Linked DNA regions of Notamacropus eugenii. The protein of the gene in region 2 purifies or fractionates together with the protein of the main gene of each other region. This does not show direct contact. Links are inferred from orthologs where the notes say so. Each region holds a gene or a part of one and is shown on either strand. Other genes may lie near its edges. The genes, in order: FHL1, RBPJ, MAML1 and NOTCH2.

The links.
Region 1: the proteins of RBPJ (region 2) and FHL1 purify together in Homo sapiens (affinity purification with western blotting; 4 studies listed by BioGRID and IntAct, with this or other methods). This does not show direct contact. The link is inferred for Notamacropus eugenii from reciprocal best matches to the Homo sapiens genes RBPJ and FHL1.
Region 3: the proteins of RBPJ (region 2) and MAML1 purify together in Homo sapiens (co-immunoprecipitation; 12 studies listed by BioGRID and IntAct, counting the BioPlex papers as one, with this or other methods). This does not show direct contact. The link is inferred for Notamacropus eugenii from reciprocal best matches to the Homo sapiens genes RBPJ and MAML1.
Region 4: the proteins of RBPJ (region 2) and NOTCH2 purify together in Homo sapiens (affinity purification with mass spectrometry; 3 studies listed by BioGRID and IntAct, counting the BioPlex papers as one, with this or other methods). This does not show direct contact. The link is inferred for Notamacropus eugenii from reciprocal best matches to the Homo sapiens genes RBPJ and NOTCH2.

Annotation. Positions count from the first base shown.
Region 1 is NC_092879.1:57,439,876-57,447,517, reverse strand, and holds the start of FHL1 (four and a half LIM domains protein 1), read right to left. Parts: upstream 3,008-7,642; 5' UTR 2,929-3,007; coding exon 2,907-2,928; intron 1-2,906.
Region 2 is NC_092877.1:79,244,031-79,251,909, reverse strand, and holds the start of RBPJ (recombining binding protein suppressor of hairless), read right to left. Parts: upstream 3,004-7,879; 5' UTR 204-3,003; coding exon 151-203; intron 1-150. UniProt on the Homo sapiens protein: Transcriptional regulator that plays a central role in Notch signaling, a signaling pathway involved in cell-cell communication that regulates a broad spectrum of cell-fate determinations.
Region 3 is NC_092872.1:416,685,731-416,693,523, forward strand, and holds the start of MAML1 (mastermind-like protein 1), read right to left. Parts: upstream 3,010-7,793; 5' UTR 2,752-3,009; coding exon 2,392-2,751; intron 1-2,391. Other genes in the region: CANX (calnexin), read right to left, coding at 7,753-7,793. UniProt on the Homo sapiens protein: Acts as a transcriptional coactivator for NOTCH proteins. Has been shown to amplify NOTCH-induced transcription of HES1. Enhances phosphorylation and proteolytic turnover of the NOTCH intracellular domain in the nucleus through interaction with CDK8.
Region 4 is NC_092873.1:300,122,243-300,129,188, forward strand, and holds the start of NOTCH2 (neurogenic locus notch homolog protein 2), read right to left. Parts: upstream 3,018-6,946; 5' UTR 2,765-3,017; coding exon 2,692-2,764; intron 1-2,691. UniProt on the Homo sapiens protein: Functions as a receptor for membrane-bound ligands Jagged-1 (JAG1), Jagged-2 (JAG2) and Delta-1 (DLL1) to regulate cell-fate determination.

The DNA.
Region 1 (7,642 bases), on a different chromosome or scaffold from region 2:
CTCTGATGCTGATAATGGGAGGAGGGGGCGGGAAATAGTATTTTATCTTTTCCAATTACATGTAAAGATAGTTTTCAACTTTCATTTTTTTATAAGATATTGAGTTTCAAATTTTTTCTCCTTCCCTTTCCCCCAAAGACAGCAAGCAATCTGATAGAGGTCATACATGTGCAATCATGTAAACATATTTTCATATTTGTCATATATGAGAGAAGAAACAGAAAAGGGAAAAGCCACCAAAAAAAATCAAAATGAAAAATAGTATGCTTGGATGTGCATTCAGCCTCCATAGTTCTTTCTCTGGATGTGGAAAGCAGAAAATGACATTTTGAAATGGAAAGGATTCACGTTAAGCTAACTTCTACAATATCAGCCACGCTCAGGGTGTCATTTCAAAAGAATCCCTGTTTAAGACACAAAGAGACTGGGGAAGGGGCACATCCTAAGCCTTTATTAATCATTAATGCCCTTGAATTGTTTAGGAGAAACCAAAGGATCCAGAGCAAGAACAGGCCTCGGAAGAGGCCCTAACACACTAGTAAAGGAACTGGCAGGGGACTCATTTCTCAGGGAACGTGTCTGATCACCTCCACAAGCTCATAAGTCATTGACATCTCCCTAGTACCAACCTAGCAAGACATATACACTTGTTCAGTCACATCCGACTCATCAGGCCCCATTGGGGGCTTTTAGGAACTTGATAAATGTGTGTTCTTTGTTAAGTTAGGACAGAGAACAGACTAAGTTTACCTACTTCATGATTTTGCCGAGTTGTCTTTGGTATTAATAGTTCTGAGGACTGTGTCTAATCTAAATTTTCTCTCCCCTAACACCTATCAAGCTTACTGTTCTGGGCCCAACAGACACTTAAAACCCATATGTCTTTATTGTTCTAGCCAATTCACTTCCTCTCTTGGGACCTCAGTTTCCTCACCTGTTATCTGAGGAGAGTCAGACTAGGCTCCACAAGGTCCCTTTCCAGCTCCAAGGTCAAGGGTCCTGTGAATGAAGCTTCTCAAACAAAGCATTAAAAAACCCTCTCACTAAATGCATTGTGGTTGTGGTTGTTTGGGGTGGGGGGTGTATTTCAGAGGAAAGAAGAGCTGGGCCTGTCAGAGAAGAAAAGGTATGCAGACAATTGCGATGCTCAGCTAAATTACTTATTAGAGACAGTATTAGGGACGGGCAGAGACCTATCCGGGAGTCAAATGCCTGAAACATTTTGGTTTGGCCTTTATCAACTCCATTAACTCCACCAAGTGTCAGCCCTGGACAGCTCTTTAAAGCTATTTGATGGCAGTGTGAATGCCATAAGTAACTAACTGTACATGGGCGGGCGGGTCACTAGGGACATTGCTTCCTTTGGCCCTATGACTTGCCTGTCAAAGCTCAAGTGGAGGAGGTAGAACAGCTATTGAATCTGTTGTTCATAAAACACGGGAGGGAACCATGTTCTTATCTACCCTCAAGGGTCTATTTTAAGCACAGACACACAAAAGCCACTAGCAAAATTAGGCAGTTGTTCCATGTAGACCACACCTACACTTTAGGGTCACACTGCATCCTCTCTCTCCCATTCTATCAAGTTTCTGGATTTATTTTCCTAGTACAAAGCTGGAATTCTATTTCCTGAAATAGGTTTTCCCCCCTAATTTCACAGGGGAGTTGAATACAAGTTGATCCAATTTACTCCAATAATGAATGGCCCTTTCAAGCTGTACTTACCCCCTTCTGGATTTATAGAAGCCACAATCACACCTGGGGACCTGGTATAATTTATAACCCAAAATGAAGCTATGCCTGGAAATGTGTCACCTTTTAAATCAACTCTAACATTTAATAACTCAGCTATTTAATTAATAAATGAAATCAAATGTTCCTCTACCAGTTACCAAACAGCCAAGGTGTACCAGGGCAAGTCAGAGCTGAATAATTTCTCCACACCCAAACACTGTGTATATTAGATGATTAACACAATCTCAAGCATGTAGTCCTGAGGTCGGAAGAGTGGCTCCTTTGTAAGGAAAGGTGTTGCTTTCATGCACCTAGGAATGAGGGAAGCATTAACTATTAAAGCCTGTAAAAGGAGCTAGGATAGTGTTAGTATGGGAAAAACCAGCCAAAGAATATTCCGTAGCATCCTATCTTATTTAACTAGCTATTGGATAGCAATGTAAAACCTGGCAAAACAGCTGCCTCATCAAAGTGGTTCTTCCTTTCCCTCTAATTCTTGGACCTCTGGCTCTCAGAGAAAAAGTTGCTTTTGGGTAAAAAAGAGGGGACACAGAGGGGCTGTGTCTTCCCAAAAGATTCATCCTGGAAGGGAAGATGCAGCAGGCTGACTTCAAACCAGGGCCCCTCAATCACTCCATGAGCACTCTGCCTCCATCGGACTTCCATCCCTTCCCTCCTCCCCCCAACTCCACCTTCCAGACCCCTTCAGCAAAGTCAAAAGGAATAAGAAGTTTTAACAAAAGTAAAAATACACCTGGAACTAGATGGCAAACTTACTCTAAACAAAAACCAAACTAACCAGCATTGTCCAAGTCCTTACCCTCTGGCTTTACAAGTTGTCTACATCTTTTGATTAGAATGAATGCAAAAATCTATTACCACGTTTGCATGTTTGAAATTCATTGATTCAACAAGTATTTCTGAACTGCCTCCTGCATCCAAGCCCTGGGAACAAAAAGATGAAATAAAACCTCTTCTCTTTCTGTCCATATCACTCAGCATACCACCTCTGCCTGCATGCTAACCATTCCCTAAAGGCAGGCAATATCAACGACGAAATCTACAAGCCTAAAATTGTTGAATCCCCCCATTTTTCCCAGTCAAGTTCATTTGCCGATGTAAATCATTGTTGTCAGAAAATCTTATCAAAGAGCACCCCAGACTCTCCTTACCCGAGTGTTTCTGGGAAGCCATGCCTTGGAGAGCAACTTCCCCAGCACTGCCCAGGTCACTGCTACCACTATCTCAGCTGATAAGAATATGGCTCATTTGATAACATACATTTAAGGGGGAGGCTATTAATACAAAAATAACTAAGAGCAGATGTCCCCACCCCTCCCAAGAGATCACAACCTTAATCCCACTAGAAAATTCTTACCATTTTAGGTGATCCCAGGGAGAAGAATAGGATCCAGTAAAAATACCAAACACTGCATATAAATACCTGGGGAACGACTCAGCATCCAAATTAGCTCCAAAGTCGGGAGTGGCTACAGAGAAAGCCATCCCTCTCCTGGAGCAACATTTGGCCATGGCCTGGGCATTGCTAAGTCAGTCTTATTAATTTGCTTTATAGATCCCAAGTGTTCAGCTCTACTCCACAGAAATAATACTATTTCTGTTGAAAATAATTACAGTATATAAACTCAACTATAGTTAGTACAATAAAACAGTGGGATTTAAACAGTAGAATTGTAGAGATTATAGATGCATTTTTAAACTTATAGCCTGCCTACTATAGATACCAGAAGCACAGGAAGAACAGCCCGATATGGAAAAAACTCCATTTATGGAAAATGCCCAACTCCTCAAGAGTCCTTTAAAGCAGATAACCAAAAGAAACATATGCTACGGGTACAACACAGACATCTTGGGTCCCAAACAAGCAAAACGAAACTCTACTGGTGAAAATATCAGCTCCATGGACTATTAGAAATTTTTTCCCCTAAAGTCACCCCAAAATTGAGGCCATGACTTGGAACCAAAGCAGAAACCGTTCTCCTCCTCTCCTATTAAGACCATTGCATGTACATGTGGAAGGCTTGGTACTCTTGTGGTCAGAACTGGAGGGAGTTCAAAAGAAGGACAATACAGTGGTCAAGGGGCCAAAGGCAGACGAGAAAGATGAGCTGGGAAAACCAAAAGTTGGCTGAATGCTACAAAATCATCGAGTCACACAACAGGTATGATGAATGTGCTCTTGCTCATCAAATCCTGGAATACCAGAATGGGGAACTATCTATTAGACTATTAGCTCCTTGAGGTCATTTATTTTTCTATCTCCCTCAACTGCATCATATATACATATATATATATATATATATATATTAGTTTTAAAAATGAATTTCTTTTGTCTTTACAACACCCTTGCTTCTAAATATATCCCTCTCCCCTTTCCTACTCAGAGAACCATTTCTTTGTAACAAAACATAAAGAAGAAAGTGGGGAAAAACTGGTTTAGCAAAACAAACAAAGCCATCAACAGTCTAACAGAATATCCAATGTACAACCCCCATAGGACCCCACCTTCACAAAGGAAAGAGACAGGTTCATGTTCTTGCCTCTTCTCGGTGCCAAGTTTGGTCATTAGCACATAGTAGTTGCTTAACAAATGTTAGTCAAATGAATGAATAAACAAATGAAGGAACAAATGAATTCTTTGACACCTGAAAGCTAAATTTAAGACAAATAACAATTGGAACTTTATCAGAGTGAAAGGAGTCAAAAGTAAAAGATTCCTTAGAGCCCCCATATCCAATTGGTCATCAAGTCTTGTCTACATCTCTCACGAGTGTCCTCTTCTCTCTAGTTCCATGGCCATACCCCAGTTCAGGTCTCACTGAGCTCCTAACTAGGTGTCCTGACTAGTCTCCTTGTATCCAGCTTCTCTAAGCCCTCCTCCACAGAAAATCCCGTCATCTCCCATTCAGAAGGGACCTCAGAGGCCATACCTGAAAAACCAACCAGTACTTCAACATAGCTACCAAGTGATCTTCTACCTCCACATGGGAACCACTACGGAGAGGGGACCCACCACCTCCCGAGGCAGCCCCTTCCACTTTGGGATAGCTCTAATTTGAAAGAATGTTTTCCTAACATCCAGCCTTACAATTTCTACCTGTTGCCCACTGAGGCCAAACAGAACAAAATAAGCCCTTTTCTACTCAACAACAGCTTTGCAAGTACTTGAAAAGAGCCACCATGTCTCCCCCAAGTCTTTGTTTGTCTGTGCCCAACATCTCCAGTTCCTTCAATCAGTTCTCATATGATGTGGACTCAAGGTCCTCCACTATTCTACCTGCCATTCTGGCTATTCTGACTTGTCAATGTCCTCCTTAAACTGAAGTATCTGGAACTGACCATGCCACTCCATAAGTGGTTGGACCAAGACAGAGTAGAAAAGACCCTCTTTCTTACCATGGGTACTGTAACCTCAAACTGCATCAGTCTTCTGGGGAGCCCTTCATTTGGAACTTGCTTTTGCATACAAATTGTTGTCTAGCCTCTCCCATCTTATACTTAGAAAGTTGACTTTTTGAACCCCAAGGTAGAACTTAACATCAACCCCTCTTGAATTGCACCTTATTTGATTCAGCCCATGGGATCCCTTGGGAACCTGGTTCTTTCATCTGCTATGTCAATTATCTACTTCTCTGCTTTGAGTCTTCTATAAATTGGAAAATTAGTCTTTCAAGAGCTTAGTTTTAGCTCTCAGCAAGACACATCTTTGTGTGTAACCAACAGCTTTCAAGATGCCCCTCTGATGTTCTGAACTCTAAGATGCCGAAAATCTTTTCATGTAGGAGCCAATTTTCCATTTTAGCTGTGAATCAGAAGGATTTTCCTTTAGGAAATAAAGCACCTTCTTTAAGCACTAGATGCATTTTTTTAAAAGTGCATCAAGGAGGGTAAGGAAAATGAAGGGAGAAATGGAGGAAAACTAGATTTAAACCTGCATGAAATTTATATAACATGGAATGCCAGAGTCAGGAAAAAGGGGGCAGTGACTTGATCTCAGAAGATTAAGGAAGAACACTGGGTAGAAGTTGGCAAGTGGCCAATTACAGATCAACACAAAGAAAAACTTCCTGATGATGAGAATCATCCCCAAGTGAAACAGGCATTCAATCTCTCGAGAGATTAAATGACTAAGAGTCAAGGATATGGTAGAAAGAGCCTTTTTGAGTACAGTGGGCCTCCATGATCACCACAGTCTTTGTGTGGTCTGTGAGTCCTTGCACAGTCTATGAGTCTATCCTTTCCCAAGGTCACAGCCAGAAAATCCTTAGCAGAGACAGAAGTAGTAAGCAGGTCTTCTGACTGCTACTTTAAGGCTCTTTCTTCTCCACTCAATTGACCCATCAGGAGTAAAGCTGTGCTGCTCCATAAACCAAAAGTATCCCCGATAGCCTGATACTCTCTGACCACAAGGGAGTTGATCAAATCCAAGGAGACTGGGAGTTGGGAGCTTGCCCTCAGAGTAACTGAATTTGCTTGGCCTTGCAATTCACACCTATTAGGCAACTATGGTTCTTTGAAAAAGACATGATTCATGACCTCTGCTTGATGTTAACACCTGATCTACCCCAACTGCTGCCAATCTGCACAATTATCAAACTACTCCTTTCCCAAGAAGGGGGGGCCCTTGCATTGTCATAAGTGAACTCCTCAGGAAGACAGTTGGCAAAAGTCACATTTCTCTCCTCGATACAGTGGGTTTGTCCAAATCTTTGTGTGCTTCTCATGGTCAGACAGAATCTGAAGCATCGTCAGCCTCATTCAGACCCTAAGCCAACCCCATGACATAGAATCAGTCACTAATTTCATTGGCAAGGCTGGTTCCTTGGTGTTTCAAGGAAGTATTCCAGGAATCCCTCCAGTTTTTCACACCCTGATGTATTTTGGAATCACTTTCCCCCTCAATTTATAATGGTTCATAGATAGTTATCCTAGACATCCAAAAGAACCCTTAGTTCACTCTTGTGTCAACTTGCCTGAAAATCACATTTGCTCACTCTCAGCATCCTACTGTTTCACTACTTTGCCCACTAACTTATAAGGAGGGCTGTCTGGTGCCTCAGTAAACAATGCCCTTCCTCACCCCAGAAGGGGGAGGGGGGAACTCAAGATGCAACTGACTTCTCCCTGACAGATAGTGAGATCACATTACAGCTACGATTGTGGGGCTTCTTTCCAAAGTCTGCCACCTCACGAACACCACTGGGAGGATCAAACTCCAAACATCCAGGACCATGCAAGCCTAAAAGTTAAACACAGGGAATTCAGCAGCCTACTTGGCGCCTACCTCCACAGTTCTTCTGGTTCTCCTTCTCCTTTAGAGACACGAGGTCCAAGGGTTGAAAAAATACTTACTGGTCATCCCAGAAGAGCAGCCCAGTGTTTGCGCCCTACTGGTCCAACTGGGATTTCCCTCTCTAGGTAAGAGGAACTGGTCATTTTAATTAGGACCAATTCATCCCATTCAAGCTTGATGTCCTTCAAGGTAAAAACCAAACAAGACCAAATAATGGAAGAAAGATGGAAGGGTAAAAATTCTTCATTTCCAACTGGTCACTGATCTCCCCCGACCTGGAGCTTCACTCCCAGTTTCCTACTCTTCAGTCCCAGAATCTGCTGCCTCACCTTCCCTCCCACAATGAAATATTCAGGCTAGCTGGAACCTCCTTTCTTTTCAACCATAGGTGAATCTCACTTCAATCTACTGTGTTCCCAAAGACTCAGTCAACTATTAGGGGCAATTACAGGGTCTAGAGAAGAAGGTGAAGGAGAGAGAAAGGAGCAGGAAGGAGCCTTCTGAGCCTCCAGTTTCCTATCGCTCTCAAAGGGAAAAAGCCTTAGCAAAAGTTTTTCTGATTACTGGAACATTTACATCTACCACATACAGTCT
Region 2 (7,879 bases):
AAGCAATAGTATGGCAGAGCAACATAAAAAGGGAAGTAATTCTTAGCCAATGCTACAGCTCTTTATGGTAAAAAATATATATATATATATATGTTCAGAAGGCATCAACTTTCAAAAGAAAAAAATATGAAAGAATATGAAGTTTCTCACAAGTGATGCTGGCTCCTCATAACTGAAGAAGTTTTTGACTGCATCACTGGCATTACTTCATTTGTACTTCTGTATTAAGAGACAGAAACAGAACCACAAGGCTCAGGATCAGAAGTATATTACTGACAGCAAACACGAAGAGCTGAATGAAGCCACTGCTGATGTTTAATAAGACGAGGCAAGGACAAGGTGACAGACAAGAGTCCCTCCAGCCTTGGACACTCACTGTGTGACTGGCCAAGTCACTTAAGCTGCCTGCCTCAGTTTCCTCAATGTTTTTTTTCTGGAGATAAAAATGAGATATTTGTAAAGTACTCTGCAAACCCTGAAGCACTATATAACACTATATAAATGCTAATTATTATTACAGTCCCAGAGGCATAGGAAAATTCAGAAATATAAGGGATAGACCTTTCATTTTCCCCTTGCAAAGAAGTGGCCACCTTAAAGCTGAAGACTAAATTAGACATACACGTTAGTTTTCCTCTTCTTTTTTCCTTCTATGTAGCTTTTTCTTAACTATAGTTTTTAGAAGTCTCTGAAAAATAAATGTAAGCAAATGAAGAAAGCATGTACCAGAAAAAGGTGATTTTTTAAAAAAAAGTTTGACAGCTATCTTTACTGCTAAAATATTGCATATAAAAACCTTACTCAATCTATGGCTGAATTATTTATTGACTTTTCACTTTTCCTCTAAATTAACTACTTTACTAAGTGTAATTAAGTGACAAGAGGACCACAGAGGAGCTTAAGCTGTATTAAGGAAGGCCTGGGTTCAAGTTCCACCTCTAATACAGACTAGGAGAGTGAGTGACCCTGGCCAAGTCACTTAAACTCTCAGTGGCCCTGACAACTCTATAAGACTTTTAGTTTCAAAGCAGGTGACCTTTTATGCTGGCAGGAGATTTCTCACTGAGAGTTTCTTAAACCAATGAAATCATACAAAACACAACATGGTTTACCTTTAGTAGTGTGTTTGTCCCTGGATTGAGAGAACCCTGCAAATATTTCTTCTGACAATCATACCTAGCTACCTTCCTGCTGGCAATGAAGCACAATGGAAAATGTGTTGGATTTACAAGTAGATTTTCATTGAAATCCCAGTTCTGTCACTTACTGTGAAAAGGTGCATGTGTCACTTAACTTCTAATGATTTAATAAAATGAGGGAATTGGACTAAATAATATTATCTCTAATGATTCTTCCAGTTCCAAATCTTTGTTCCTACAATCCTATACGGACATGCAGGACTTCACAGCTTCTATATTAAAAAAGGAAATGGAAATGCTTGCTACAGATCTATGAAAATCCAAGACACATTTTAAATATGACAAATTAATGGCAAACACAAAAATGTTTCAGTCTTTGCAAAAAAAAATACTTATTCAACCTTACCAAACCCTCACAAAACCGTAACTTTTTTGAGTTAACAAAAGAAGACCTGCAAAAATCAAGTTGGATTTTTCAGATGGTCCTAATTACTTCTTAAAGCTATCTTGGACATTGGACATTAAGAAAACTGACATAATTTAAAAGGTATCACTAAATGTCACCAGCCTACAAAACAATAATTTAACTCATAAGTAGATATAAACCCTCCCCTGACTCCCTGCCAAAAAAAGTGAGGTACAGTGTTATAAAGGGAAATTTCCGTCTTCTAAATTCAGAATATTTACATGACCTTAGAGGAAAATATTCTAAAATGACCTGAAAAATCTAATCCTTTAAAAATATGAAATGGGCTTCCAAATATGCTCTGCTTCTTTTTTTTAATCATAACATAATCAGAAAATGATTTCACTTAGTTTTTTTGTGTTTTTATTTTTGCCCAAGTAAATTCTCCAAGGAGAATATATTCTGTCTTTCCATTAATGAATGGGAAAAGGATTCACCAGAACTGAATAAAAATTTATTTTCACTACTTGCATACAAGAGGGAACAATAACACAGCAACAATAAAAATCATTCACTAGAAATTAAAAGCCAAAGTATGAAATTTAAGAGTTGGAAAGGGAAAAAAAGTCGGTTACAGGTTTATAGATCTTAATTATTTGAAGATATTATGTTGGTTTCCCAAAATGTCATAATGCTACAAAGCCCTTGAAAAGCTCTGTATAGTAAGCAGGAAGAAAAGAAGTAGACTTTAAAGAGGTATCTTTTTTGGAAAAAGAAAAAATAAGATCCTTAATTATTTCTGCCATAAAACATGAATTTGGGTAGCATGATCATCAAAAAGCAAAGGATACAGCAAGTGCATACATCAATGACCAACAATTATCAAGTGGATTAATTTTAAAAAACAACATTCTAGAATCTAAGACACTATTTCTACAAAAGAGAATGTCTTGGATTTAATAATAGCTCCAAAACATGTTTAATTACTGAAATATCGAAATAATTTTGTAATAAGGTGATTTCACCAATAAATCTGTGATTTAATGAGATTCTGAGATTTTCTATTAAATCAAACTGAAATGAATTACTTTCCTATCTGCCTCCAACATACACTGTTCTTTATTACTAAAAGATAAGACATTTTGTACCCTGCATAACCTTTATAAGCAACCAGAGTTGTTTCATATCTTACTACCTTTAGGAAAGCTTTTGGCAACAGATATGCACTACCAAATCAGGGGTTTTCCAAGGTTTCAAAGAGTCAAAATGGCTTTGATTGCATCACTCATGTAAAACTACAGAAACATAAAAGCCTGAACATTTTTCAGTGGTTATGGGTACCATGTACCTAGAATTAACATTATTGTTAACCACAAACAACAGTAAGACTAAGTATCACAAACACATAAATCATGATTAATAAGACAAACATTTGTGAATAAACAATACACACACTAAAAATAATGAATCACTCATTTTCCTGAGTGAAAATTTTAATATGTAGAACAAAAACAAATATACACCACGGTTCTGGCCTCCAGAGTAGTCAGACTTATATATGACTCAAATGACAGCACTGAAGCAAAGCAAAAAAAAAAACAAAACTAATCTGTACTCTGAATCAAAAATTTAGTTACAACCTAAAGTATTGCTCTGAATTTATGATGAAAAAAAAATTACTGCCCATTAACTGTTTTAAAAATCAGATAAAACTTAACAGTTGAATAATTCCTATAGCTATTTTTAATTCAGTTCTTGAATTTCTACAGCATAGCATGCAGGTTATACATTTAATACAAAATGCTAATACTCTAGACTCAAAACCATATCCACAATCCACAAAATAAAGCACCTTAGAATACTCAGTCATTATTGCTAACAAAGCCTGGGATTTACACTGTCAATGACCTAAGAACAATGGGTCACTGGGATGTTTCCAAGCCATACCTTTTAATCCACGCCATGGTACTTCAAGAACATGTTAAGGTGAGCCACGGCTCGGCACACTTCGATGCACCTCAAAACACCTCAGCCAGTGTATCATTCTCCTTTCCTTTGGAGATCATAATGGCTCCGAAGAACTATAATGCTTCCATTTCAATGTCAGTCTCATACAAAATTTCAATAACTTTAAAAAAACAAAAACAAAAAAAAATGACTTTAAGTGTTAGTATGTTAAAGCACTAGAGAACTGTGTTAAACAAACTGCCATGATCAAGAAAAATAAATAAGCTGTTGCTAATATGAAAAACTATGTTTTAAACAAATACTGTTCTATGTAAAGGAGTTAAGCTTTGCCATAGCTTCCTGGGGGCTAGCAATTTTTTAAAAATTTGGTCTCACTTTAGAACCCGGGCAAGTAGCTTAAACCTCAATTGTTGCTTCAGTTCTCCATCAATAAAAGAAGACAGAACAGACCACTCAGTCAAAGTGGTCAGACTCTGAATAATTATTTGGCCCAAAGTTGGATGAAACTTTTGCAGGAAGGCATTCTCTTCACAGGAATATTATTATTTTTTTTTTTTTAGTAAGAGGAAATAATACAGATCTGCTCCTATAGCAGAAATCATGTTGATTTAAATTTGTACACTTTCTAACAAATTGAAAAAATTTCAGTTGGTAAGGTCTTCTTATAGCATTTTATACTAATTCTAACTCAGAGATAGCAAAATCTATATAAGGGTTTCCTCAAATTTGATTTCTTGATTTTTCAAGATGTGGACTGGTAGAATGATTTTTTTTTTCCTCATTAAAAATTTTCTCCTTCTCATGGTTCATTTTTGGGGTTGGGCAATAAGAAAAGATTTCACTTGTAATTCCTATTTTTAATCTACTATGCATCTATTTTTATGTTTAAAAAAAGGAACTTGGAATTTGATCTACAGATAGGGAGACAAAACTGAATAGCTACTCAAATACATATATATATACACACTTATCATAAAAGAAATAATGATATTCTGGGATCAGCTCTGATTAATCAAGGTAAGTTTGATGAAACTGAACATTAAAGTAAGGGTTTCAATAACCAGAAAAGACTAGGTAGATAATAAAAGATAAGGTATTAAGTTATGTCTATTTATAAATGATAGGGAATATGGCAAAACCACAGGATAAAAGATTTATAGATGTTAGGAAACATTATTCCGAGAGTGAAACTAAATCCTTAGAAAACAACACAAAATAAAATACTAACAAATTTAAATATTACACAAGGCTGCTATCATCAGATACCACAACCTGAGATTCTGATTTTTAAATCACCTTTTACCAAATAAATTTTAGCCAGAAAAAAAAAGGCACTGCTTTACAAACTGTCCTTGAAACTACTTTTTACATCCAAATTATAAGAAACTACTGACTTTTTTATTTTTTAAAATGGAGACATCTTCCCATAGAAAACAATTCTAGTGCCAAGCAAAACTTTTAGAATTATATATTTAAAGGAGAGCTAGAGTATTCATTAAGCAGACATTTATTAAAAGCTTATTGCAAAGTACAGGAGGGTACAGGGGAAGATATAAAGATAATTAATCCTCCTCCCACCCCTCCCCATGGAGTAGTAGAAAATCACACACACTCAAAGTATGCATTAATATAAAATATACAAAGTTATAATGCTAAATAAAATATAACCTTAAGCATAAAATGTTATGCAAGGTCCAAGGAAGAAAACGTCATTTCTGATTTTTGGTAAGGGGTAGGGAAGTGGGTGGAGAAATACTTAAAAAAGGAGACTGTAGCACTTGAAATTGAATCCTGCAGGATGAGTAGGATTTCATAAATCAGTATTTTTTCTTTTACATAAGCAGTACAGGAATATTTCTCAAATGTACTTTATCAGCTGAAACTAGTCTCATTCATGTGTATCTCAGCTGAGGTAATAGATATAGGCAAACAGATGTATAGGAGTGTAATAGATATACTACATTTATTTTTTCTTTTAAAGTCTGGAAAAAAGGCAAAGAGAAAATGGTTGAGAAATTCCAAATTTCCTGTACACTTACAGGGAAATTTAAGATTTTATAGACAGCTATTCATTCATTATATTCCTAATTTTATTAAATGTAACCTACAAAATTGAGCCACTAGGCAGTAGGAGGTGTGTTCATGTGCAAGTGTACTTATCTGAACATATTTAAAATCAAAGTGTTTTAGCCTCTGTATCATGAACCTCTTTAGAAAGTGATACTATAGTGTCTTTCTTAAAATAATGTAGTTTTTTAAAAAATTCATGATTGAAGAAAATGCTAAATCTCGGTTGTTGTTCAGTCATTTTTCATTTGTGTCCAACTCTTCATAACTCCATTTGGGGTCTTCTTGGCACAGATATTGGAGTGGTTTTTCATTTCCTTCACCAGCTCATTTTATAGATGAGGAAACTGAGGCAAACAAGGTTAAATGACTGGCCCAGAGTCACACAGCTAGTTAAGTGTTTGAACTTAGGAAAATGAGTTTACCTGATTCTAGGTCCAGTACTTTATCCACTGCACCACCTAGCTGTTCAATTAGAGGTTATTGAAAATAAAGAAGGTCCCCTTGAAATCTATCCAAGGATGGTGGTTTGTGGATCCCTAGGTTAAGAACCCCTGGTTTGTCTGGTAAAAACAAAAAACACCTTTTCAAATAAAATCTACTGTAAAATATCACATTATATTTAATTATATAATCTTGATATAACACTACTGTAAGTCCCAAAGACAGAAAATGGGTAACTGGGTAACCTTTCTCTATGTTGACTTAATTAAAATATCTGTACCACACTGAAAATAATTAATGACCACTTTTATATCTCTTCCTTAAATTATTTTTAAAGTTAAGAGAATTAATGTCTAAATACTATAATTTAGATGTTAGTAGACATGAAAAGTCTCAATACTCAACCAATGTCCAAATTACAGTGACAAATTTAGCATGTCTAATATAAAAAGATTTTCTAAGGTAATTTTATAGCTCCAAATCCTAGGAACTAAAAAGTCTACCTGAGAACTCAATATTTTGCCTCTTAGAAATCAGCAACTCCCTTCAAAGTTAAGTATGGAGACTAGTTCTTAAAAGAGACTTTTTCTGATCTTCCAGGCTCCAGTACCCCAAAATGACTATATATATTTTACATTTATTTGTGAATGTTTTCCAATAGAAGGTAAACTCCAAGAGGACAGGGGATGTTTTCTTCTGGTGCATTAGTGGGACCCCAGAAAAAAACAGAAAAGGCTGCAGAGACTAGAAGACAGAAGTTGAAAAGTTAATCAAAACTCAACAAAGGGTTAAATAGCTCAACTGCAAATAAAGAGACCAGAAAGACAAAGGACTTGCCCAGAGAGTAAAAGCCACCTCAGTCTATAGCCACACAACATTCACTCACATAAAATTCCCAAAGGAGCATGGGAGATGAAATTCAACTGAACTGAAATTTACAACTAGGAAGGAGGAAGATCACCCAGCCCACTCCAGCTCTAGCTCCAACAAAACCCGTGGAGTTCTCACCAGAGCAAATAATGATCAAGATATCCAAAGAAAAGTTATAGGAAGTACCTTCTTCACATCAGAACTGAAAAAGGAATCCAACCAGAAACCGGAGGACAACTGGAAAGGACACAACCAGCAAAGCAGGCACCAGATTAGTTAGGTACCCTTCCAGCTTGCTCAGATAAGGGTTAAGGACATGTGTAGCCTGCAAGGCTCTGTGTCCAGGTGCATCAAGAATGGAGAGCTCCTCAGTAAAAGTCCCAATGTGGACACTCTGGAAGGGGTAGACAGCAACAGTTACACCAGTCACAGTCAAGCCATCAGACCTGGACAATCCAATCCCAGAGTCAGTGAATCATCTTCCAAGGTGCCAGGGCTTTAAATCTCAAAAATCTCGAAGAGGTAAGGTAACCTAGGGAGGCAGAAATCTGCACAGGAAACCAGGGCAAGACCAAAGCACAGCAGGAAGAGAAGCCTTACACAAAGCTCTAATTCATGAACTAAAGGTAGAGATGAGTAAATCAAAGGAAACAATGATCAATGTAAAAAATTACTGCAAAGCTAAAGAATCCTCCAAAAGGAGTAACTGTAATGGCTGCAAGTAGCAGCTCAAAGGAAAAAAAAATGTACTTTTCACCAAGAATGCTCTGAATACCTGATTAAATGAAGCAAGGGATTTTTAAAAAATGAAGTAACAGCTCCTGAAGAAAGAACTGGAAGGAGAATAAAAAGTAATGTGGAAAAGTTGCGAATCTCAGTCAAGAACTGAACTTCCTGAAAGTAGAATAGACCAAAAAGAAATCAATGACTCCATGAGGCAGGAAAAAATACTAGAACAAAATCAAATGATTTTAAAAATATAAGA
Region 3 (7,793 bases), on a different chromosome or scaffold from region 2:
ATCTTTTCTTAAAACAAGCACTGTATGTTGAGAAAAATCATTTCCAGTGGGCACTGGAGATCATTTATTCAATGAGTACAGTTCTTGCAGAAAAGGAAAATCCTTAACATCAACAAACAGTTAGGAAGTGGTAGTTCAATACAAGGCCCTATGAAAGGATACAAATGGCTTCTGCCCTCAAAATGCTTACAATCTAACTAGGAAGACAAAAGACACACACTGTAAAGACAAGACAGTTACATGATTGGTGGCAATGATTAGAGTAGGACAGATGATAGCTACAGGGACAGAAAGGAGGGAGGGAAAGATCATTGTAGGCTGAAAGGTGAGGGAAGGTTTCAAAAGTTTTTCAAAAGGTGAGGGAAGTGAGCTGAGTTCTGTAGGAGAGTAGGATTTAGAGAGGCAGAAGTGAGGAAAGGGGAATATGGGCAAAGATTGATGTGGGGAACAGGAAAGGCATAAAGGTGGGAGAAGCAGAGTATTTCAGGTTGGCTGGAGGTGGACAGATTGAGATAAGTGGTGGAAACTAAGACTGGAAACATAAGATCTTGGCCAGATTACATTTAAGTCTTGCAGGTAAAAGATTTTGAACATTATCATGTCAGCAAATTTTCTGATGAAATAGGAGGTTTATGCAGATTATTCTGGCTTCAGCGTACAACTGGAATGTAAGGGAGAAATAGGAGGTAGAACGATTGAGCAATTCATCAATCACCTTACTAAGTGCCTAGTAAGTGCCAGGCTCTGGCTATGTTTTGATCCAGGTGTGAAGTGATAAGAACTTGAATCAGGATGAACACATGCCAAATTTGGTCAAGGATTCCTCATTTTATAAACTGTAAGCATACTTTTGAACATTAACAAAACCAATTAAACTTGTATTACAACCACTAATACTTAAATTGGTACTTCCATTTTCCTTCCTTGAAATTACTAAATCATTAAAAACAAACCAACCAACATCCCCTCAAGCCCCAAGAAAATCTTTCCGTGCTTTTTTCTTGTTTTATTTCTTCCTGGGAGGAACTAAAACCCTACATCAACAAAGCTCACCCATGTGACTACACATTACCTTTCACACTAGGGATTCTCACTGTACCTATAAAATGTTCCACTGTCACAACTGCAGTATGGTGGGAATCACATTTTACACAAAGTTTAAAACTGACATCCATTCTAAAAAGTGGAATTATGCTATTAGGATCTTTCCTTGACAACTGCTATAGAACAAAGCCATATGTTAGAATAGTCCAATAGTAGAAAACCCAGTTAAGGAAAAGATCCTAGTAGTGTTTGCTTATACCATACATTTGTCACTTTACCACCATATGGACAAAGTCCCAACAGCCTCCTTTAGAACTGTCCTCTAGCTTCTCAGGAATCTCAAAACTGTGAGAAACATTTTTGTCAAATTCCAAGACTCAAAGGTTTCCTAGCGAGTTTTCCGTGGTGCCGCTGTAAGATTACATTTACAGAACTTGCTTTCACAATATTTCATCCTGTCCTATTCCTGACAAGCCTCCTCGCCTCAGCATCAGGTCCACTAACACCGTTAGGGTCTGGACTCTTTTACAATTCACACCGTGTAGGAGTTACTTATGCTGTGGGCAATCTTTAAGTTAGTATACCGAATTATCGAAAAGAAAACTTCACACAACTACGCTGTCACCAAGTCTACTTCAAAGTCTACCTATGGGAAAACATCCTCAAACGTTGGTCTGGTTTGGATGTAAAAGGACTTCGGTTCCAGCCCCCAAGTCCAAGAACATCGCTTCTGGGACCGTGTCTTCAGCTATAAGACGGCGATAATACTCGCGGTTGGAAAGAAAGTACTCTGGCAACCCTTAGGGAGTTTCTATAAACGTGAACTGTTACCTCCTAAAAACAGGCATGGAATAAAACCATATTGTTCCCCGATCCCGGGGAATGAACGTGCCAAGACCGCCTTTCTGGTGCCTAACCACAGGGAGGGTTAGGAAATCGCGACCTCAGCTGTGGGAGCTGCGCTGGGAGCCAGACACTTGCACCAGGGGCTCGGGGGTGGGGGGGCGCTTCCAGCCGCGGCGCCTCTCTCCCTATCGGGGTCCGCTTCCTCCCAGTCCCGCCCGACTTCACACCCATAGAAGCAGGCAGGGGAAGCCTCCCACTTCTCAAATCAGAACCGGTTTCGTCACTTTCCCTGGGCCCCTGCGGTTCACACCCGCCCCGCGCACTCCGTTCGCCCCGGGACGCACAAAGCGGCGGCACCTTTCCTAGCAGCCTTCCGCGACTCAGGACCAAAAGGCGCCCCAGGAATGCCGCCGCGAGGTGCCCCGGGCTTGGCAGACTGCGGGGCCCCCGAATGGAGCCGGGGGCACCCTCCCGCCGCGCCCCGGGGGCTGGCTCACTCACCGCGATGAGGGCGCTGCTGGAGCGGTTCTGCTCCGCGGCGCTGCCGTCCGAGGCCTCGACGGCTGCGGCAGGGACCGGGGCCGGAGCGGGTGGCGCGGCGGCGGGGGCCGAGGAGGGCGGCGCAGGCTGCCGGTGCTTGCCGGCGCGTTTGGCCTTGGCCTGTAGGCAGCGCTGGTGCAGGGCTAACGTGTGCTGCCGCTCCAACTCCAGGCGTTCGGACAACGCGGCCTCGTAGCGGGCCTCGCAGGTGTTGTGGTGCCGCCGGCACAGTTCGATGCGGCGGCGGAGGCGCTCCATGACCGCGCTGTGCCGCGGGATCGCGAACTCCGCCATGGGGCAGGGGGGCGGCAGCAGCACCATGGGCCGCCGCGGGCGCCGGGCCGCGCCGCCTCCTCCGCTGTCCCACCCGAGCGGCCCGAGCCGGGCCCGGGCCCCTGTGCTTGCTTCCTTCCCCTTCCTTGTCCCGGCGGCGGCAGCTCTCCTTAGAGCACGGCCATAACCCCGAGACCGGCGCCGCGCACGGAGGACGAAGCGGCGGCCCAGCAGGCCCGGGAGCTGAGCGTCTGCTCGGCGGAGGCCGCGATCCCCCGCCTCAGAGCCAGGCCGACCCCCGCGGCCCTAGTTCCATTGTTTTCCGCGCCGCCTCCGCCACCGCCATCTTGAAATTGTTCGGGACGCTTTCGGGAGGAGGCGGGCCCTCCGCCGGCGGCGACGGAGCCTACGTTTGACGTCATGATTTGACGTACAGGCCTTTTACCAACCCGAGAGGAGCAGGAGACATACGCACCTGGAACTACGTGTACGGGGCGGGACCCCGGCTCGGAAAAATAGCGTTTAAAAGGAACTGGAGGGAAGGAAAACGAAGGCAACCAATGAGAGGGCGAAGGTCTGGGACGGAAATAATGTTTAAAAGGAACTGAAGAGAGAAGGAAAACGAAGGCAACCAATGACAAGGCGAGGGTCTGGGACTGGGTAAGGGATGAGACAGGAGGGGGCTGGGCGAGCTGGAAAGTGATTGACATGGTTAGCAGCCAGCCAAGGCAGCCTTTCCTCATCAGGTGTCCAGAGGCGCCCCTGACTTTGCCACCGCCTCAGGCCCTTCTGTCCATGCACTTAGGTGGGTTACGTTAAGAGGAACGCGCGTGCACAAGCTAGCCTTCTGCGGCCTCCCACCCGGGCTTAAAGGTTATTGCCCACTTCCAAGCGTCCACTAAGCCTAGGTTAGCAGTTTGAACTCGGCGTACGGTCCGCGTCCCACCAGGACGCTTCCCGCCGCGCTTTTCCTGGGACTGGAGAGCACCGTTACTCCATACCAAACAGTCCCACGCAAAAACATATCAACAGTATGTCTAGTATTGCTGGGGGCAAACCCAGGAGGAAAAAAAGGAAGCTCACTGAAGTCCTCTGGAACCCTCTCTGTGACCAAGTGAGAGTAGACTAAGGCTAAAAATGCTTGACTTCAGTCATCAAGTTGCAAATGCTGGTAAGTGTGCACTATTCCTTATTAGATGAATAGGCAATGGATATTTTCCAGCCTTTAAAAACCCAAATCAGGTACAGAAAGGGGCGACTGTGAAGAAGTATACACCCTTCACCTATAGGAGCAGACAGGAGATGAGGAATGAATTTATTAAAGCAGAAAATAGCTGCTACTTCTGTGTGGAAACAAAAGGAAATGTCAAATTTTTATAGTTTATGGGTATGAGATTACCTCACATTAAACTGCGAGACAGGTGACATTCCTGTAAAACCGAAAACTTGTTTCTCTGCCTCCAAGGAAGTCTTGGGTCATTAGGCATGCCCCCATTGCTCAGGTCTGGTGCGAATTCGTAAAAAAAAGGGAAAAGCTTTATAGATTTTAATTTTCTTTATTAGAGTAAACTGTTACATTATAACTTATCCAATATATTTATATATGCATATCGCATCTATAATTATCCTTCCACAACAGACACGGGAGTGGTTGCTGAGAGAACAGTTCCTGTTCAGCAGTACAAGGAAACTGCTCCCAGGACTTATGGAGGCAATGCTGGCTTGAGAGACTGTCTGGGCCCAAATCAAGTCAAATAAAATAAAGTCACTGGCTAAGAGCACCCTATTTACTGCCCTAAATGGAGGCATAAGAAAGAAACATACGTTGCATGACCATCACTTTTATCACTAACACCATCCCTATTCACCAACTTTTCTTCCTAAGGTCACCATACATCTTGGGGCAGATTTCCTATTAATCTATTAGAAATGTTCTCCATTTCCTTCATTTAAAGATAAAACCAAATACAAGCCAGTAATAAGAAATCAATTTTGCTGAATCTATATGTACCCCCTTTAGTACAGCAACATAAAAAAATCCTCTATTCGTAGAAAAGCTTCCTTTTGGCATAGTTTTCAGAAATACTCCCAGTATCAGAAACTAAAACTGGAGTTGAATATCTGGTTTGGAGTAGCAATGGTTAATTTTTGAGAAAAATCATCATTGGCCCTCCAAATACTTACCACCTACAAACAAATTAACACTCGAAAATACCTTGAATTCTATCATCTGACCAACAAAACCGAACAAGTATGTTTTTTTGTTTTGCTGTTCACGTTCCCAGCTTCCTTTTCTGAACCTAAATTCCAATTATATAAAAATCAAAACTTTCCTAAGACAGTTCCCAATACTTTTTGTTGAGTCAAGATCTATATTAACTTTCTCACAATATGTTGGAAATTAAGGGGAAGACTGACTTAACACACCCTGTTCCCCTCAAAAATCAAAGTAGTGCACACTGAAGGAGAAAACATGCACAGTGAAGGTAAAGAAGCTTAGTCAAAAGCAGGAGATTAACATGTAGCTTTAATGCAACACCATTTAGTAGCTTGACAAATGAAAAATAGCACTTTTTTTCTGTGAATGGGAAAAACTGAGGAGTACATCTGCTGGACAGGAATTTGCACATTAATGAACCAGACAACTGGAGTATAAAATAATTAAACATTGTTGCCTCTTGTTGAGCTGCTGTGCAAAGTGCTGCTGGTCATCCATGACAAAGCTGTCAGATACTGAAGTAGGAGGCCTCACCTTACACTATGAAGGAAAGGAATGAACCAGGAAGAGCCACTGTTTGTAAAAACACTTGTGTTAAGCAATATGAAGTCTATGGGACAAGTCCTGAAAACTTCCTGGTCACATAGGGTGTGTGAAGTTGCCTGTTTCAAAGAATCAAAATAATGCAGGGTAAGCTTAAGTTTCCATAGCCCAGGCAGAAGAAAAATCACCAAAACTCAACGAGAGGCACACAACATGTTCTGAAGGTACAGTTGGAAGTGCAATGGTCCCATACTTTTGCTTCAAGTAGATACCTGTAAACATGCTTTCAGGCCCTTACTAAACAAAGGTTTATTTGTACTGGACTTCATTGCTACATTTATGGCCACTTTGACCTAGCAAGATAACATGAAAGGAGATAGCATTTAACAGGCAGAAAAAATATTCTCTACTCTACCACCTGTCGCCTCTCAACCTTTAAAGAAAGGTGCCAGTCATGGAGTAGTCTACAAAATAAACTGACATAATTCCTTTTGAGAATTCTAATATCACCTCCTGCTGTTCCCAATAAGAACACTGTGGAGTGTTTACATATTCAGTGCAAGGACAGTGAATCAGTACATTTCAAGCTATTCTAAACAAATAAGAGCTAAAATATCAACATCCAGCTCCCAGTATATTTCAGTAGAGTGTGATGTCATTACAAAGCACTAACTCTTTGGAGTAAAATGCTCAGATAACCCTCACCTGCATTTTAATCCCCCTCCAAAGACTTAAGACCAGCAATACACTAAGCCACTTAGCAAACTTTTTGTTTGAATTGGAATCCCTTACATTCAGTGTACTTTATGATGCAATTGTTACATGAAAAGCAAATAAAAATTTGAACAAATTCAACGGTTACGTATACCAGGTAGCTCATGCTACAAGTCCCAGACAACTCCATCGGCTAGTCAAATCCTTTGAACAATTGCATTCAGTTTGAAATCAAATTTGCATCAGCCTGTCTGTTCTGACCAATATAATCTCTAAAGACATAAATGGAAAAATGAGGGACTATGCTCTATTCTGTATTTGGACACTGAAGACATTTGGGTCTTTTTTTTCTTTTTAACCCTATGTATGTATGTGTGTATATATATGTATGTATATGTATATATATATGTGTGTGTGTATATATATATATATATATATACACACACACACACACATATATATATATATATCACCACTCAAGTTTAACACTGTGCTGAGCATATAATCATTTCCAGCAATGGAGGGCAAGCTGCACTCTGAAGAAACTGCATAGCAGCAGAGAAAAGCCTGGGATGGGGGGAACATTAACAGAGTGGAAGGAGAAATTGTTAAAACCCCACACATACACACACACACACACACCCCCTGACAGCCCCAATGAGTAGTGCTCAAAGTCTAGAGAAACCACATAAGGTTAGAGCCCAGACAACCAGCCTGGGAAGCCTGAATGCCTAAGTACCAATGGTAAGTCTCCCCACCTATTTACTCTCAGTGCCAACTATGGAATACTGGGAACTTAGCAGTAACCAAAGGCAACACAACACGCACATATTGTGGCCTGATTATGCTCCTTCCAACACGGAGTGGAAAAAGAAGGGCCTTTTTTGTAGCTCTGTTTTTAATACAGCTTAATCAAACAGTATCTATTATAGTCTGGAATTCTCCCCCAATCTCAAATCTCCAGAAGAGGAAGAATGAAAGAGTGGGAGAGAGTAATCAATGTTATCCACACAAATGACTTCACTTTAAACATGATTATCAATTTTAAGGGACATAGACACTTCAGTGTTTTGGAATATCGAAGTTTATAAAAAAAAAAAAAACTACGTTATAAAAACTGCAATTCATCACCTAGCATTTTCTAAACTTTGCTTGTTATTTTTCCATGGATAGATTAATACATTAAATTAAGCCAAGGTTCTTGAAGATTGGCAATACTCTAACATTCTATTTTTAAAAGTGTTTTAAAACCAAAAAACAAAACCAAAAAAAAAATAAAATAAAAGAACCCCAACAAGTTAGTTGCTTTATGTTACATCCAGAATCCATAGACCATACATTAAATGCTTTCTTTCTACAGGAATGGTGTTCTTTTTTTTTTTTTTATCACAATTGCAATTAATTACTGCTAGATGCTCAAATTTTCATTGGATAGTAGTTGACTGGAATCTGTTGATAGTGAAGTCTTGAGGTTTTTCTGGGTTTCAACATATAAGGTGTATCCCAGGTCCTCTCCTAGGATCACATCGAGGGTGGGGGAAAAAAGGAATCACAGATCAAGTTCTTAAATTCTTTCAATCTCTTCGTGGCTTTCTGTTTCTGGGTGATCTGTTCA
Region 4 (6,946 bases), on a different chromosome or scaffold from region 2:
GCACAGAGACAAAGCAGGGAGAGGACAAAGGTCACCTCCTGAATCGAGCACTCAGTCAGTCAACAAACATTTATTAAATGCTTCCATTCACTGTGCTAAGCACTAGGGATACAAAGAAAGGCAAAAGACAGACCCTGCACTCAAAGAGATCAGTCTAATGAAGGAGACAATATACAGGCAATATACAGAATAAATTGGAAACAATCAACCTAGGGAGGGCAGTACAGTGGGTTAAAATTAATGCCACTTCTTGAGAAAAGTCAGTCAAGAATGTCTCCCTGTACCCTACCTTCCTACCTCGAATGTCATAAAAAAGAGAAAGGAGAGCAGTGCAAAGGAAAAAAAAAGAGGCAAAAAATTATGCTCTTTTGTTTTATTGTGCCTTTTGTCATAGTATTCAAATAAATTGACAAGAGTATGACATTTTCAAAAGATATTTGTAAGACAAAAGTCAAGGAGGGGATTCTATAGAAATTCACCAGATCAAGGTGAATTATCAAATTGGTAGCAAGATCTGAAAAGTACCTACCAACTGCAGGGAAAGGAGATCCTGGGATATAGGTGTGGTCACAGACGGCTGTTCGCAGAACCAGAAGAATAGGGCTGACAGATCTCGGCTGGAGAACTCAATGATGTGTAAATTACATCCTGGCCACAAGCCCAATACAAGAGATTCAAAGGGTCAGAAGGCGTGTTCTAATTGGTACCTTGGGAGAACCCAAGTGATAAAAGATGGAGATTTTCAGAAAAGAGTTCACAGTTATTAATTTGGTGTAATTCAGGATAGTCACTAAAAAGTAGGGTTTACCCTCCCTTGGGCAGTCAAGTATACAGCATAGAAAACTGAGGATTCTATTTACTAGTTTAACGCTCAGATTCTCCACTTGTAAGACAGGGATGCCAATACCTGCCACCTGCACAGCTAGGGAGACACAAATCAGTGTTGGAGGATCCTTAAACGAGAAACGTCCCCTCTTCACAGAAAGGAATTCTATTTTCTTCTTATTTTGCACAATTTTGTACTGTGTCTTTTAATCTCATCTATTAGTTCTGCCCCAATGAGTCTGGAAAGTTTTATTTATTTCCCATCTTTTTTTTTTTAAACAACAAGGAAACTGAGGGTCAGAGAGATTAGTTAACTTGCCAAAACAAACTAAGAGAATGAGTGAGGATTACAACTCCCTAGACTCAAGCGTCCATCTGATCTTACTAATTTTGCCACCTCCACCCACCCCAATCACACATTACATCATTTCTTTCATTTTAAGGAGAAGAAAGGGGCTTAGACAACTTGAAATGTTTCTCCATGCTTTTCACTGACGCTACTACATCAGAAAGTATAATCACGGTTCTTTCTACACATATCTTTGGTTCACCTCTGATATCCTTGGGCAGGTGCATTTGCACCAGAAAATGCCTACGTCTACGTTTTCAGGTGGAAGGATACCTCTACTCTCTTAAAAAAAAAAACAAAAAAACAAAAAAAAAACCTAGTGTGCATTTTTTAACATCTCCTGGTATTCAAAATTGAGAATAGACAAAAATCACCTCAAAGCTGAATACCTTTACTTTAAAAGTAAGAACAGTTCTCGTTTGTGGTTTTAGTAAAATTCTTCCTGGAAAAGACAGTTTCATTATTTAGATTCCTTCCCCCCCCCCCCCCCACTTTTTTTTTCTTTAGCAAAATGACCTTCAAATGCGTTCAGAGACAGGTTTTTATAACTCTTAGAAGACATCCTAATTAAGGCACTTTGAGAATAAGTGTTACCCCTCCCACTCAACCCACTCTCTACAGGGGGCGGGTGAGATCACTGAAGAGAAGCCCAATACTGCCTCCAAGTTGAAGTAGACGGTCAATGTCACATAGCAGTTCTTACAAGTTGCACCCCCGCCCGCGCCCGCCCCCGCCCCCGCCGGGTTCCCAAAGATAAATGCGGGGATCTGTGTCTTTGAGGGAATGACAGCCATCGAAATTTTAATTGCTTTAGTAGGCAGCCACATGAGTTTTTTCCCTCTTCTGCCACAATGCAGGCAATGCCCACGAGACTCCCGAGATACCCAGGCAGAAGGGAGACTGTCAGAAATCCAAGGCGGGCTGCCCAGCACACAGTCAGGGCTTAATAAACTTCTGTCCGACTGGGCTGGGCTCGGTGGACCCTGCCCCTTCACCCAGAGCCCAGGCTGGGGCTCTGATCTAACATTCCCGGACAGGGAAGGTAAGATCGGCTCGGTCCGAGGGCGACCTCCCCCCACGAGGGCGTCTGGCATTCCAGGAGCCAGAAGCGCTAGGGGCGTGCGGCTCGCAGCCTGCTGAACTGTAACCCTTTGTTAGGCTAGGCAGGGCCCGAGGTCAGCTCGGCTCTCGCCCAGTCCTCGGCGGCCGAGCCTCCAGCGGCCCCCTCCCACCCCTGCTCGGGCCGGGGAAGAGGAGGGGGCGTGCGGCTCCCCTCCCCCGCCCATCTCTGAGGAGAAGGAACTGAAGACGTCCGGAGCTTTCCTTAATCAAAGTGCTTCACTCCCAGGGAAAGCTGCAGAGAGTCCGGCAAGCCCAGAGCCCCCCACCTTTCCCCGTGCCCCGGCGCGGAAGGCGGAGAGTAACTGCGGGTGGCCCGGGAAGGGAAAGGAAAAGGGTGGACCCCGGAGTGACCGGGGGGCGGAGAGAGCCCACTTCGGCCACCTGGAGATACTCACCTAGGGTGGGCGCGCCCTGGCACAGCCAGAGAACTAGCAGCAGGCAGAGCGGGGCAGGACTCAGGGCGGGCATCTTCTCGGTCAACTCCTCCTCCTCCACCCAAGCGGATCCACATGGGGCGGGGGGGTCCCTGCTGGGGAGCCCCCCCACTGTCTAGCTTCAGCCGCGGCGCTAGGACCTTAGTGCGGGGGCCCCAGATCGCCCCGCGCCCCGGGATTCGCGCAGCACCAGCTCCAGCTCCAGACACCGCCGCCTCCCGGAGTTTGGCAGAAAGTTTCTGCTTCTCTCAGCCTCGTGTGTCCTTCCGCCTCGGCCCTCCTCCCCCTGGGGAAAGCCCCGCCCTCCTACTCCCCGGCTCTCCTCCCCGGCTCTCCTCCTCCTCTTCCTCCTTCTCCTCCTCGCCTCCCCAGCAGCAGCAGCCGCCGCCTTCCGTACCCCGGGGTTTCCCGCACGAAAAAGTTCCGGCACGATTTCCCCGCGGAGGGATCTACTACGATTCCCTCCCGCTCCCCCCCCCCACCCCCCATTCCTTCTAGTCGCGGGTCGGGGCCGGAGACTCTGGTTTAACCCTGTCGATGCTGGAGATCTCGCCAGCGTGGGCAGGAGCGCGTGCTGATGGAGAAGAGGTCGGGGAGCCCGAGCCTAGAGCATTGGGCTCTACAGGGAGGTCCGGTGTGATGGGAAGAAATTTGGGTTAGAATCAGAAGACCTAGGCCCTCTCACTGGGTGACCTTGGGAAGGTCCTAGCACCTTCGATTTACAGCTGGAAGAGACGGGAGCAGCCTCTACCTTCACCTTTATGATGGAGAAGAATGATGACATGACTTGCACTTGACTTTGATTTGAGTGAGGGAGGGCTGTGCAAGGTCACTAGCCTCACTTTCTCCTTCTGAGACGTCTGGTTCCAGTGACCAGATATTCATCAGGGCGATGGCCCAGGATGCAATGGGAGACCTTGGCCTTTTTAGGCCTTTACCTTTAGGCTACACTGCAGTGGACAGAGCTGGATTGGGGTTCAAATCCCCACTATTCTGATCATTACTTGGGCAACTCTGGGCAAGTCATTTAATCTTTCTTGGCCTCAGTTTCCTCATGTGTAAAAAAGAAAATAGGTACTCCACTTTTACTTGTGTGACTATGGCCATGTCATTTATGAGCCTCTATTAGCCTCAGGTTGAGTCTGAGTCATTGTTGTTTGAGTCATTTTCAGTCATGTCCGACTCTTTCTGACCCCATTTAGGGTTTTCTTGGCAAAGATAATGGAATGGTTTGGCACTTCCTTCTTCAGCTCATTTCATAGATGAGGAAACTGAGGCAAATGGGGTAATTGACTTGCCTAGGGTCACACAACTAGTAAGTATTGGATTTGAACTCAGGTCTTCCCACCTATAAGCCCTGAGCTATTATCCACTGCACCACCTAGCTGCCTGGATCTCAGTTTCCTCATCTATAAAAGGAGGGAGTTGGAACTTTAAGATCTTTCCTAGGTTAAATCCCTATTATATATATATGTATACATATATATGTGTGTATATATATATGTATATGTATACATAATGCTGCCCTTCTACCCAAAGGTTATACATCAGTGTCATGAAGGAGGACCATGGTTAAGGAGAAATTTGGGGAACAGGAAGCAGAACAGGGTAGAGGCAGCTTACCATTCTTTAAACAAATATTTATTGAGTTTTTCAACTCAGAGGGTTGTTATACTTCTAAGCCCCTACCAGAGGTGAGCTGGTAAATGTTTAACAAACTGCTCTCCAAAAATTTTTTTAAAGTACATACCCATGACACACTTTTAAATTTAATCTGCATTATTAACATTTTCTCCATCACTTTCTAAAGTCTAGATGATCAACAAAATAATAAATCAAGTCCTGATTGTTTTGCTGATTTCTGAGGTACAAATATCCAAGCTCTAGCACATCCTTGTCACCATATAACCTACTTACAGTCTAGTTGCCAACACTGACACTCACCGAAAAGTCAAGTAACAATACAAGACGTGATAAGTGCAAGATGATAGGAGCAGAGGTGCCCAGAGAAGGGAGAATCACTGTGGGCTGAGTCAATAACATAAACTGCAAGTAGGACTTGATGTGGTCCTTGAAAATGGGAAGTATCTGAAGAAGAAAACAGGTATTCTAGATAGGGGACACGCAAACAAACATGCAAAGAAAGGAAGCAGAATGCTTGTGCCTAGAAAAGTGGTAAGAATGAGCCTGGAAAGAGATAGGAGTCAGATGATGAAATGCCAGTTTAAAATTTAGCTTGTTAACAATGGGAGGCCACTGAAGGATTTTGAGCCCAAAAGTGGCACAAAACTACAGAAGAGTAGATAATAATCTTACTGAAGAGAAAACTGAGTCATAAAGTGGTTAAATGATTTGTCCTTCTATGACATCACTAGTACATGGAAAAACAGACACATTTCAATTCATCAAATTTCAATTCATCAAATACCCCTACTATGTTCAGAGCACTGTGCTAGGTACTGGTAGAGAAACATTTTTTTAACTACAATATGGAATGGCCTAGTGGGGAAATAGGAAATACAACTTGCTATAATATAAAAATTATAGCTCACATTTATATATTAATTTACAATTTAGAGTGCTTTGCCCCCACAAAAATCCCTTTTCTTCTTTTTTTTAAACTGGGTATATGTGTATCTGGACTTATTATTTCATTGGAGAACTCCAGATGTGGGAACTATACATTCAAAATTATGGAGCAGTTCTCGCAACTGGTCTGTATAATTTGTAACTTTAGAGACTTGCTTGGGGTTTGAAGAAATTAAGCGGCTTGCCCATAATCACACAGCTAGTCTGTGTCAGAATTAAGGCTTGAACCCAGATCTTCCCAATTCTAAAACTAGCCTCTAACCACTATACCCAGCCACAAATACCATTGGCCCATTTTGCAGATTAGGAAACTAAGAATTGGGGGAGGGAGGGATATGATTTACCATGGTCACAAAGCTGGTGAGTGGCATGGCTAAGACTTGAATCCAGGTCTAGCAGCCAAAAAGAGCTAATAAAATCCTGAAGTACATCAGGAGAATCATAATTACTAGCAGCTGGGAACTGATAGGCCTGTTGTATTCTGCCATAATCAGGCCTCATCTGGAGACATATTCTGTCAATGGTTGACATTGATAACATTGGTAAAAAATTACCAAAGAAGGGCAACCAGCATGGTGGAAGGTCTTGAGTCTGGGTTATATGAGTTTTCATTGATGGTATTGGGCATGCAGAGTATGCAGAAAAGATGAATCAAGGTGAATAGAACATCTTCACATACTCAAAGGTTTTCATTTGGAGGAGGGATTCTATTTGTTCTGTTTGGTCTTAGAGGGTAGAACCAAATCCAATGGGTAGAAGTAAAAAAAGGTAAACTTGGGCTTGATGTCAGGAAAAAAGAGCTATTCAAAAGTAGAATGGGATGCCTTAAGAGAGAATGGGTTCCTCTTACCTGGAGGTCCTTAAGCAGAGGCTAAATAACTGCAAGTTGGGTATTTTGTAGTGTGGCTTCTTTTCATGGCCAGGTTGAACTTTCTAGTTATGCCACTGAGTTCTTCTCCAAGTCTTACATTCCATGATTTTGTCCTTTGACTCCAGATCAGTATTCCTTCCACTACCATGATACCTCACAGTGCATTATCTGGAAAGTGAGGTCAACCAGCTGGTGGTGTGTAGAACAGATTGGAGTAGGTAGAGACTGAAGACAAGGGAATATTTACCATAATCTTCATGTGAGATAATGAGTCCCTTAAAGGAGGATAATAGAAAGGAGCAGATGGATGTGAGAGACACTGCAGTTGGTAATTGGGGGGACACACACTTGCCAATGTCTTAGTCTCGTTAATTTGCATTAAGTGTTGGTAAAAATTGTCCATATGTCATTAATGTCATTACAATCCATGAGTTTTAGCAGCTTTATATGGTTAGGACCAAAGTTTTATAAATTCACCTATGGGAGATTTGGTTCTAGAAAACGGATTCACTCCAGCCTATCTCCCTGAAGAGTCAATGATCAAACCAGAATGACAATTTACTAATTTTATGCTGAAAAAGAGAATTAGAAATTAGACTAAAATATTTAATGTTGAGAGGAGAGCACATGTACTTCCTGGTAGGAAAGTCTCCTTAGGAGTAGGGTCAGAAAGTTGCTTAGTAGGCCCAGGATTCATAAAGCTCCACAGCCAGAATATGATGCATAGCCACATTCATTATATTTTAGTTTGGTAAA